Linked DNA regions of Macaca mulatta. The protein of the gene in region 1 purifies or fractionates together with the protein of each later gene. This does not show direct contact. Links are inferred from orthologs where the notes say so. Each region holds a gene or a part of one and is shown on either strand. Other genes may lie near its edges.

What was found.
Region 2: the proteins of U2SURP (region 1) and U2AF2 purify together in Homo sapiens (affinity purification with mass spectrometry; 3 studies listed by BioGRID and IntAct, counting the BioPlex papers as one, with this or other methods). This does not show direct contact. The link is inferred for Macaca mulatta from reciprocal best matches to the Homo sapiens genes U2SURP and U2AF2.
Region 3: the proteins of U2SURP (region 1) and SF3A2 purify together in Homo sapiens (affinity purification with mass spectrometry; 3 studies listed by BioGRID, with this or other methods). This does not show direct contact. The link is inferred for Macaca mulatta from reciprocal best matches to the Homo sapiens genes U2SURP and SF3A2.

The regions. Positions count from the first base shown.
Region 1 is NC_133407.1:46,012,762-46,016,409, reverse strand, and holds part of U2SURP (U2 snRNP-associated SURP motif-containing protein), read right to left. Parts: intron 3,362-3,648; coding exon 3,239-3,361; intron 2,159-3,238; coding exon 2,002-2,158; intron 1,241-2,001; coding exon 1,145-1,240; intron 451-1,144; coding exon 384-450; intron 1-383.
Region 2 is NC_133424.1:68,010,806-68,014,453, forward strand, and holds part of U2AF2 (splicing factor U2AF 65 kDa subunit), read left to right. Parts: intron 1-1; coding exon 2-105; intron 106-468; coding exon 469-620; intron 621-1,908; coding exon 1,909-2,025; intron 2,026-3,115; coding exon 3,116-3,254; intron 3,255-3,648. UniProt on the Homo sapiens protein: Plays a role in pre-mRNA splicing and 3'-end processing. By recruiting PRPF19 and the PRP19C/Prp19 complex/NTC/Nineteen complex to the RNA polymerase II C-terminal domain (CTD), and thereby pre-mRNA, may couple transcription to splicing.
Region 3 is NC_133424.1:2,990,401-2,994,048, forward strand, and holds part of SF3A2 (splicing factor 3A subunit 2), read left to right. Parts: intron 1-714; 5' UTR 715-751; coding exon 752-877; intron 878-1,840; coding exon 1,841-1,912; intron 1,913-2,028; coding exon 2,029-2,075; coding exon of another isoform or gene 2,076-2,104; intron 2,105-3,325; coding exon of another isoform or gene 3,326-3,348; coding exon 3,349-3,458; intron 3,459-3,648. UniProt on the Homo sapiens protein: Component of the 17S U2 SnRNP complex of the spliceosome, a large ribonucleoprotein complex that removes introns from transcribed pre-mRNAs.

The DNA of each region.
Region 1 (3,648 bases):
CCTTTGTATTCATTCTTAGTTCTTCTGAAAGGTTTATATTTAAATTAACACAATGGCCATAATGCAGTATTTTTCTTAGCAATGTACAATCCAAAAGAAAGGAGTATAACCTTTCCTACTCACATTTTAAAAACCACTTTTTGTGGAGCCCAAAACAATATTTGATGGCAAAGATTTGAAACAAATGCAGTTGACCAATTAGTAACTACAAAGTGAGAATGTAACCCAGCGTAAAAAACTCACAAGCAAAATGAAACCAGATCCATCAAGACCAGAAAGCAAAAGTGAAGTTTTCCACTTCACTATTATTTCAACTATATCTCTTAATGAAAAAGGGAATGTATATGAACAAGAAACAGTATATTTGGAACTTAGATTCTTACTTTTGATTTTCTTCTTCTTCTGATTCTTCATGCTGGTCAAATAATTCCCATTTAGAAGTTGTAACAGCTGAATAGAAGGAAAAAGAGGATGTAATTCCATGAGGTAAACTAGCATTTTTGCAGCAGCACAGTGGAAGCTCAAGCTTTAGAACTGAAAAGTTTATATTACAGAAGTTTCCTTTATCTATGTTTATCAATTCTCTAAATAGCTATTTATATGCCAATTCTCTTTCCTCACACCTACAGTATAATTCAAATTCATGAAGTGATGAATAATGTCATCCCTGTTTCTGTGTTGAATATTAAGATTTCATTAGAACCTACAAATAGTAACAATTATGGATTATCAGCACTAGGATACAGGTCTAAGTAAGTGTGAGACAGGTCTAAATGGCATCTAATCAGTCTAGGATTATGGGAGGGTCAAATCAAAAAGTTTCTCTGAAACTGACCTCTATGTAGATTTCTACGTAGGTACAGCTTCCTATCTACATTTACTACTAAAATGCCTTAACTTGAAAGGTTTTCAGTGATATCTCATTACTCTCAAAGCCTCCAAACTGAAGGACCTAAGAAAATTGTAACAGCAACACCAACCACAATAAAAGTGTACATTAGACACAAAATACGGTAACATTGAGTATTAAGGTTAAAATGTGTTACAAAACATAAAAGGAAAACATATATACAATATACAAGCACACCAATAAATAACTTATTAAGTACTTAATGTAAAAAATACTCATTTTACTTTTACTCACCCTGTGCTTCCAATTCAGATTCATCCACAGCTTCCCATTTTGATGGGGCAACTTTAAATATAGGCTCATTCTTCTTTGAGTCTTCAGTTGCATCCACTATTAGGGAAGATAAGCCATTAACCCTGACGACTAGGGGATGATGCAAAGTATTACGTTCATGGGTGTTCACCATATTATTAAAAAGCAAAGTAAAATAAGGACACGGATGGACCAACCGTAATCCTGAGAACAAGGACTATGACTAAACCAATTCTCTGCATCTGAGGGCAAAATTTTTAACAGTATATATTATATCAATTCAGAAAATACAGGTTAGTAATATATTAAGCAAGTGAAGAAGTTGAGAAGTAAAACAAATCTTTAACAAATCTCTACAAAACTGCATACATTATTCAATATTTAAACATATAATTCAAATGTACCAAAGAGCTGTGTACAGTTCCTATTTTCAAAATGGTTCTAGGCAGCTAGGAAAACTGAAGTTGTAGGTTAGAAAAACTAATAATAATACAGAACTGATAAAACCAGGTACCCAGGAATATGCATAATTGAACACAAGATTTTGCCTATAATTTCCTGACAATTAAGACAAAAAGAGAAACTTGCTAATGTTATAGAAGGCTGACTGTCCCAGCAAAGAAATGTGACCAGAAAAAATGCTGCTTCTTGGCCTTTTATATACATAGCATACAAATAAATGTATTACTGGGTATTTGAATTTTGAAAAAATCAGAAATAGTTAACTTGATACCTTCATGAGAAACTATAACCTTCTTCCATATCAGCATGTATGGAAATTAGAGTTTTGGTCACCAAACTTATTAGCTAGATTTAATCAGTTTGAAATTTGAACTTACAAGGCACTCCATCAAGATCATCATCAAGACTTTTTATAGGGACTCCATCAAGATCATCAATGGGAGTAGCATCAATAGGAATTCCATCTACATCTTCCAGAGGTGCACCATCAAGCTCTTCCTCAATGGGGGCACCATCAAGGTCATCTGGAACATCCTATGGAAATGTGTACTATTGTAACATTTTCCTTTGCTTGCTGAAGTCACACTGCTTGTAAGATTAATTTGTAATCCAGTACAAGCCAACATACCAGGATACCCACAATCCAAGGTACATTGTAAGAACATAGTAAGAATATATATTCTATCATCCAGTTTGCTAAAGAAGCAGTCAGTTGTGCATTTATCTAACATTTACCAAGTGTTCACTGGTGCCAGGTACCATGTAAGGAAATGATGAGCAAAAACAAATTTGGTCCCCCTGTTACAGAGCCTGGTAAAGGTTTTTGTTGTTGTTTTGGGGGGTGGGGAAACCAGGAAATCAGATCATCACAACAATATATACTTATCTGTAACTATGGTAACTGCTACAGCAAAAAGGCGTATCATACTATTAGCATAATAAGTTTCACTTAAAGAGGTCAGAGAAGGCTCTCTAAGGTTATATCTGAGCTGAGATCTGAAGGATCTCAGGTAAAGATAAGTCCCAGAAAGAGGGAAGGACATGTATACAGGCCAATGGTAGGTGAAAACACACATTTAGGAAACTGAAACAAGGACCATGTGGGTTACAACAGCAAGGTCAATTAGGAAGATCCTGCAGGGGTGAAAGTGAAAATATAGTAGCTTGACTAGTAAGGCAGAATTAAACATTAAGGGTTCAGTAATTATTTAGGAGGTAAAGAAAAACAACAGAACGGTGGTGTATATCTGCTATCATGTGATGCATCTTTTCATGCACATATTTTACTTATATAGCTATCTTTAACAAAATAAAGTCATGCTACATAAATACTGCTCTATTACTTGCTTTTTTTCTACTATTAATATCATAAGTCTTAGGTCATTAAATAAAAAACCACTCATCAATTTTCACATAAGGACACAAGACAGAGAATTCCTGTTATATGTAATTTTGACTCCTGGGTTCCAGCAATAAAAATCCACTATTTAGTGGTAAGCAACAGATATTTTTCACAAAGAAATATACCTCGCATATGTAATGCAGCATAACTCCAAGAAACCTCCACCCCAGAAACGAATTTTAAAAACAACCAGACAAATACAGAGTGCCTACCTCTGTTTCCTTTTCTTCAATAATATTTACAAGTCCTAAGAAAATATTTTGTAGTTTGATCAAAAATGGTTCTGGATAAATTGCCCAATCTTCCCATGCTCTGAAGCAAGTCATTACCCGTTGCTAAATAAATAGGAAACAGATAACAAATTTTTATTTTGGGCTATATGTCTCAAATTTCAGTTCATGAGAATGACCATCAAGATTTGCTAAATTTGCCTTTAAAATGACATTTTTTAAGAAAATTACTATATATCATTACCATATTTTTTAAGAAAAATCAATGTCACCTTCTAATTAAAAGAAAAAAAACCCTAAAAATAAATATAATGAAAAATAAACAGTAGTTGTTTGCTCTTTACCACCTAAGGTCAGCTCCCATACCATTAGTACTACACATGAGCCACATT
Region 2 (3,648 bases), on another chromosome or scaffold:
GTCGTTCCCCCCGCCATGAGAAGAAGAAGAAGGTCCGTAAATACTGGGACGTGCCACCTCCGGGCTTTGAGCACATCACCCCAATGCAGTACAAGGCCATGCAAGGTAGGGCCCTGACCGGGCTGCTCCCAGAGCGAGAGGGTGCAGGGGCTGGGATTCTCCGTCAGTCATTCCCCTGCGTGTGTGCGTGGAGGGGGTCGAGGACACAGGTGGAGGGTTGCACACCCTTGGGAGGTCTGGTCTCTGTGCTTTTGAGGCCTCCCTCTGGACGCCATTAGGAAGTGAGGCTTCTTAGGAGTAGCAGTTACAGGGTGGGGGTCCCGAGGTGGAAAGAGGATTCTGGAAGGTGCTAGGGCCGAGAGCCTGTAGGAGCTTTTTGCCGAGGAGGGGAACTCCCAGCGTGTGGTGGGGGGAGGTCACTGAACACTCCCCTGATGGGGTTTTATCCTGCTTTTACCCCCTTTGAAGCTGCGGGTCAGATTCCAGCCACTGCTCTTCTCCCCACCATGACCCCTGACGGTCTGGCTGTGACCCCAACGCCGGTGCCCGTGGTTGGGAGCCAGATGACTAGACAAGCCCGGCGCCTCTACGTGGGCAACATCCCCTTTGGCATCACTGAGGTACTGCCCTCCCCCTGCCCTCCCCTCTCCCTTGTCCCCTACCCCATTCCTCCCCTTCCCTCCATTCCCTTTCCCCAACCTGCACGGGTCAGACTCTGCTCCTGCAAGCCCCCCCGGCCCCCTCCCAGACGGACCGATGGAGTTGAGCCAGCCAGGGGCCGGGCTGGGGGTGGCCCTCCCTCCCTCCTCTTCCCTCTCCCGTCTCCCCTCCCCCCAACCTCCTCCAGCAACCCAGGGATCAAGCACACACATAATGTACCCACGTGTTGTACCTACGTGTCGGAGAGAGACAGAGAGGGAGACTTGGACACACACACACACACACACAGACGCACGCTGCCCCTCAGTTTTTTTCTGACACGCCTCTCCTTCTCTGCCGCCTGTCCCCCATCCTCTCCCCCACGTCCCTCCCATGGTCGCTGTTCTTTTATTTTTGATCGCCCCTGACCTCCCCCTTCCCCACCACTCCTTTTCCCTCTCCCCTCTCCCCAACCCCTTCCTGTGGCACCCCCTGAGAATCCCGAGATCAAAGAGTTGTTTCCATTTCTCTTTAAAGTGAAATATTGTGGGGCTGAGATCCCTCGTAGCAACAAAAAGTTTGCTACCATCGTCGAAGGCAAGTAAGGTCCATTCTGACTTTCTCAACCTGCACTTTGCTACATTTGATAAACCAGCCCCCGGACTCCAGGGCCAGATTCCTCCACATCACTCTTTTCTCCTCCCCTCCCGTCCCTGCCCCTCCTCCCTACACTCCTCCTCTCCCACCCCTGCACTCTTGACCTCGTCCTCCTCGCTCATCTCTGTCCTGCTTTCCTTTTCTGTCCTTTGCTCGTCTCTGCCCCTGCCTGCCGCTTCCTTTCTACTTTCCTGCCACTTTTCTCTCTGTCTCCACCGGGTGTCCGTTCCCTGTGTGCCCTGTCTCTTCATCTCCTCTGTTTCATGTTTTTCTTCATTTTGTGTTGTCACCATTCTCTCTGCTTTTTCTTGAACAATCTTCTCCTTTCCCCTGATTTTTTGGGACCCCTATGGCTGTCCCCCAACGCCTGTCCATCGCCTGCCCTTGGCCGTCTTCTTGCTACTGCTTCCTCCCCATTTTCTCTCTTGCTTCTGTTCCTACTATTGACTTCTACACCCCCACCCATATTCCACTGTTCCTTCCCCCCCTCCTCCCTCCCCTCATCCCTCTCCCCTTACCCCCAAACCCCTCTGTGTCTCCCTCTCTCACCCTTCCCCTCCTCTCTCCACCTCCCTTCCCCCGCCCCCCCCTTGTCTCCTATTCCCTCTGCAGGAGGCCATGATGGATTTCTTCAATGCCCAGATGCGCCTGGGGGGGCTGACCCAGGCCCCTGGCAACCCGGTGTTGGCTGTGCAGATTAACCAGGACAAGAATTTTGCCTTTTTGGAGGTGAGCTGGGGGAGTGCGTGGGGTCAAGGAAACGTGTGTGATGTGAGGGCCCATCCCCCAGGCGGCAGGTGTGTGGAGCTGCCCTGCGCTGTTTCCACTGGGCCCTCTGCAGCCCATTCTCCACCTGGTCGCTGAAGTGAGCCCTGTAATAGCTCTGCAGATCTGATCCTACTTTCTGCCTTACCTTTGCTTTCTGTGTGACCCGAGAGGCCTGTTTGGCCTCTGCCGACCTTTTTGGCCTTTTCCAGACCATTCTGGCGCAGTCCTCTGCACTCTGGCCATGCTGACCTTCCCAGTAGTACCATGCTCCTGCATGCTTGGCTAGAGTTCTTCACCCCAGCTGACTGATGTTCCTAACTAGTCTTCTGTCACCCCAGCTGACTGATGTTCCTAACTAGTCTTCCGTTACCCCAGCTGACTGATGTTCCTAACTAGTCTTCCGTTACCCCAGCTGACTGATGTTCCTAACTAGTCTTCCGTTACCCCAGCTGACTGATGTTCCTAACTAGTCTTCTGTTACCCCAGCTGACTGATGTTCCTAACTAGTCTTCTGTGTCAGTGTTTCTCAACCGTTGGGAAAGGGCCTTGGTTTTTGATTTTCGACTCTTGGACTGATACCTGGTGAAGTACTGTGAAGGCATTGGCAGTGTTGGCTTGCTCTAGAGGTTTCTGAGCACTCCCTCTCACTTTGTACTTGCCTCACTGCAGTCCACTTTCCGTTGCGCTGCTCCGGATGTGGGCTGAAATGTCCCCTCACCAGAAATACTCCAGTATTGTCATCTCCCCATTCAACTAGGCTTCCCCGTGACATCCTTTTTCAGCATTTTGTCCCTCTTCTGCATCGTCACAGCCTGCAGTTGTGTGTGTGCCTCTGTGTTGGTGTTGGGTGCCTGGTGTCTCTCACGGTCGAGTGTGAGCTCCTGGCAGCAGGGACATGCGTGTCTGTTGTCCTCCCAATGCCCAGCCTGGGGCCTGGCATGTCATATTTGTTCACATGAGTGAAAGGAAAGAGGAAATCCCAATCCTGGAACACTAGGGCCTGTATCAGTCACTGGCCGCCACCCTCACCACACCTTTCTCTTTCATTCAGTTCCGCTCAGTGGACGAGACTACCCAGGCCATGGCCTTTGACGGCATCATCTTCCAGGGCCAGTCACTAAAGATCCGCAGGCCTCATGACTACCAGCCGCTTCCTGGCATGTCAGAGAACCCCTCCGTCTATGTGCCTGGTGAGTGGGGGATCCATTAAGGGTCCTCTTCCTCCCCAGTCCTGTTCCCATGGCCCGTCCTTCCCTTCAGCCCAGCTGGAGTGGCTTAGGAAGTCATGTAAGTACTGTGGACCATAGGTGCCTTTTCCCTGCTTCCCCTCAGTCTGTGTGAGTGGGGTGCTCTCCTGCTGTTAGAGAAAGTGCTTAGGGCCGGGAGAGGGAGCTGTGACCTGCTTGGGGACACACAGCTTGTACGTGGCAGAGCCAGGATCAGACCAAAGGTGCTGGGGGAAGTGAGGGGCTTGTGGTCGGGACCTGGTGCCTGCTCTGGGACCTTGGAGGGCTCGGTCTGTGCCCGTCGGGGCTGGCGTGCGTCGACAGTTGGCAGCAAAGTTCCTGCTGTGGGGTCTGGCAC
Region 3 (3,648 bases), on another chromosome or scaffold:
AGAGTCCAGAGGCACCCGTGTCCCTTGCCTTGGGGCCCCTTCCTCCCCGTTCACAGCCACAGCACAGCCTCCGTGACTCAAGGGGAAGAGTGCCAGGAGATGAGAGGAGGCTGCCTGTTGGGGACTCAGCAGAGCCCTCCTGCGCCACAAGCAGATGTGACCGATCTCCCGGATGTTACCCAGTCAGGACACAAAGATCAGTGTCCTCACCTCCCAATAAGTTTACAGCGAACCCAAGAGATAGAATTAGGCTGGGGATAAGTAAGCGCAGCCAACCAGAGAGGGAGTTCAGAGGAAGGCTTGAACACTGGGGGCTTAGGCAGTCCGGGAAGGCTCCCTGGTGGTGGTGACTCGTTTGTGAGAATTTGGCCTTGTCTTCCCTTTATGCCTTCTCTGGGCTCCCCGCTCCATTTCAGGTCTCCAGGCCTTGGCACTCTGGGCTGGAGTGGCTTCCTCTCCATCCCTCACATACGCTCATTTGGAGACAGGCTCCAGCTTCCCTCGTGTCTGTGCCTGTCCACAGTGGGCCTCGGCCTCCTGGAAGAGACTGGGTGCACTTTGGGGTGGCCCCCTCAGGGCTGGTTAGACCCTGGCTCTGGGAGTGCAGGGTGAGGGGCTGTCACAGGCTCCAGCCTGGTGGCCTGGCCCAGGGAGGTCCCAGCAGCAGCCGTGAGTTCTGAGCCATCCTTCTTTCTCTCCTCTTGGCCTCCACAGGTGTCTCCCGGTCTGCTAAAGCCCCAAGGCCGTCACCATGGACTTCCAGCATCGCCCTGGGGGCAAGACCGGGAGCGGGGGCGTGGCCTCCTCCTCCGAGAGCAACCGTGACCGCAGGGAGCGCCTCCGGCAGCTGGCCCTAGAGACCATCGACATCAACAAGGTGGGCCAGCCACCGTGCAGCCGCCTGTGGCGGGGGCTCGGCTTTCCAGGACAGCCCTGGAGAGGGTGCCAGAGGCTCTTCCTGGGCCTCCACCCAGCCTGGGCGGTGCAGCCCCGTGTCCAGATGCTCCCCTGTTGCCCCGAGTAGCTACAGCTCCCATCTGTCCGCCTTAGAGAGCAGACCCTCTGTGGCTCTGAGCCCCGTGTGAGAGTGTTTTGTTCTGTCCAAAACCTTCTGTTTCGCATCATTTAATTTTCTGGGAGTGGGGAGAGCTTATGTCAGTCCAGCCAGATGTGGTGAAGGGCAGCCTTTGATTTTAGCTTGTGCAGGGGCGGGGATGAGCCGGGTCCCCTCAGCACTGTGGACATCGGGACTGGAGCACTCTCTGTGTACCCTGACACGCCCCACGGACCTGGCCTATGACGAGGGCTCTGTCACTGTCCCTGTCTTCCAGATGACGTCACGGGTGGAGGGGTGCCCCAGCCACAGATGGTGGAGTTAGCCTTTGAACTCCAGCGTCTGAGACGAGAGGCGTGCGCCTGGCTGCCCCGGCTTAGGGCCTGGAGATGGACGGGTCTCTGGGCCTTCAGTGTAGCCCATTTGCTTTTCTTGTGCCTGTGTCTGCCTTGTGCCGACCACTGGTGTGGTGGCGTGGGCAGCGGACAGCTCCCTGCATTGGGAGTGACCAGGAGTGCTGTGCTGACTCTGCCTCCCTCTGACTCAGAACCACCAGGAAGGTGGTGCGGGGGGCTCCCTGGGAACCCCCGCTGCTCAGAGCCTGGGCCACAGCCCCAGGCGGTGACACCTGTGCTCACAAAGGCCTCCCGCCGGATCCCCCGTTTTCAGAAACGCTTGACACCGTCAGGGACAGCCATGCCTGTACAGAAAGGGGATCCTGCGTCTGAGGGCCCTGACCGCAGCAGGCCTCGATCTGTCTAACGGGCGCCTGTTCTTCCCCTCCAGGACCCGTACTTCATGAAGAACCACCTGGGCTCCTATGAATGCAAGCTGTGCCTGACGCTTCACAACAATGAGGTGCGGCCTCTGCCCGGCTCCGGGCAGCTCGCGGCGGGCTGAGTGGCTGACGTCAGGGGGACCTGCCTGTGTCTGTCTGCCCGGCCCGAGTCATGTGTGTTTCCTTTCCACTCCAGGGGAGCTACCTGGCACATACCCAGGGGAAGAAGCACCAGACCAACCTGTGAGTACCCCGTGCCCCTTCGATTCCTGGTGCTCCAGCAGCTGTCGGCTCAAGTCTCTGTGAGCCTCACGGGCCACTGCTCCACGGCCGGGAAGCCAGCCTGGTCTGGGCCTCCCTGGGCGCTGGAGTACGGTTTCTGGGGAGCATTAGAGAACAGAGGCGTGGATGGCTGAGGCGGGCAGATCACTTGAGGTCAAGAGTTCGAGACCAGCCTGACCAACATTGTGAAACTCCATCTTGTGCCGGGCGCGGTGGCTCAAGCCTGTAATCCCAGCACTTTGGGAGGCCGAGACGGGCGGATCACGAGGTCAGGAGATCGAGACCATCCTGGCTAACACGGTGAAACCCCGTCTCTACTAAAAAATACAAAAAACTAGCCGGGCGTGGTGGCGGGCGCCTGTAGTCCCAGCTACTCGGGAGGCTGAGGCAGGAGAATGGCGTGAACCCGGGAGGCGGAGCTTGCAGTGAGCCAAGATCACGCCACTGCACTCCAGCCTGGGTGACAGAGCGAGACTCCATCTCAAAAAAAAAAAAAGAAAAAAAGAAACTCCATCTTTACTAAAAATCTAAAAATTAGGCTGGGCATGGTGATGCACACCTGTAATCACAGCTACTATGGAGGCTGAGGCAGGAGAATCTTGAATCTGGGAGGAAGAGGTTGCAATGAACCGAGATGGCGCCACTGCACTCCAGCCTGGGCGACAGAGCGAGACTCAGTCTTATTTAAAAAAAAAAAAAAGAAGAAAGGCCGAGCGCAGTGGCTCACGCCTATAATCCCAGCACTTTGGGAGACCAAGGCGGGCAGATCACCTGAGGTCAGGAGGGCAAGACCAGCCTGACCAACATGGAGAAACCCCATCTCTACTAAAAATACAAAAAATTAGTCGGGCTTGGTGGTGCATGCCTGTAATCTCAGCTACTGGGGAGGCTGAGGCAGGAGAATCGCTTGAACCTGGGAGATGGAGGTTGCGGTGAGCCAAGATCGCGCCACTGCACTCCAGCCTGGGCCACAAGAGCAAAACTCGGTCTCAAAAAAAAAAAAAAAAAGCAGAGGCATGGAGTTGTTGGTAGGACCCCAGCCAGGGACAGTGAGGAGCATGACAGGAAGAGAACGTGCCTGTCCTATCCCTGTTCTCAGCCAAACCCCAGGGCCCCTCCCAGGCCCCTGGCCCTCCTCATCCCTCAGTTTATAGTGAGCTCCAAGGTCAGGGGGCCCGTGGCCTTGGTGCCTGTGTGTGGAGGGGCCCCAGCACCACGTCCATCCTGCCTGCAGGGCCCGGCGAGCCGCCAAGGAGGCCAAGGAGGCCCCTGCCCAGCCTGCACCTGAGAAGGTCAAGGTGGAGGTGAAGAAGTTTGTGAAGATCGGCCGCCCAGGCTACAAAGGTGAGTGCCCGGAGCGGCGCTGGCCACAGCCGCTGCTGCTGCATGAATAGGTTCTTTGGGCTCCAGTGCAGGAGGCGCAGCCCTGAGACCCTCATTCCTGAGCCGCTGTTTTCTGGCCTTGGTGGCCATCCCTCACCCACCTGCAGCCTCTGGCGTTGTGTCTGGGAGCTGTCAGGCTGAGCCCGATAAG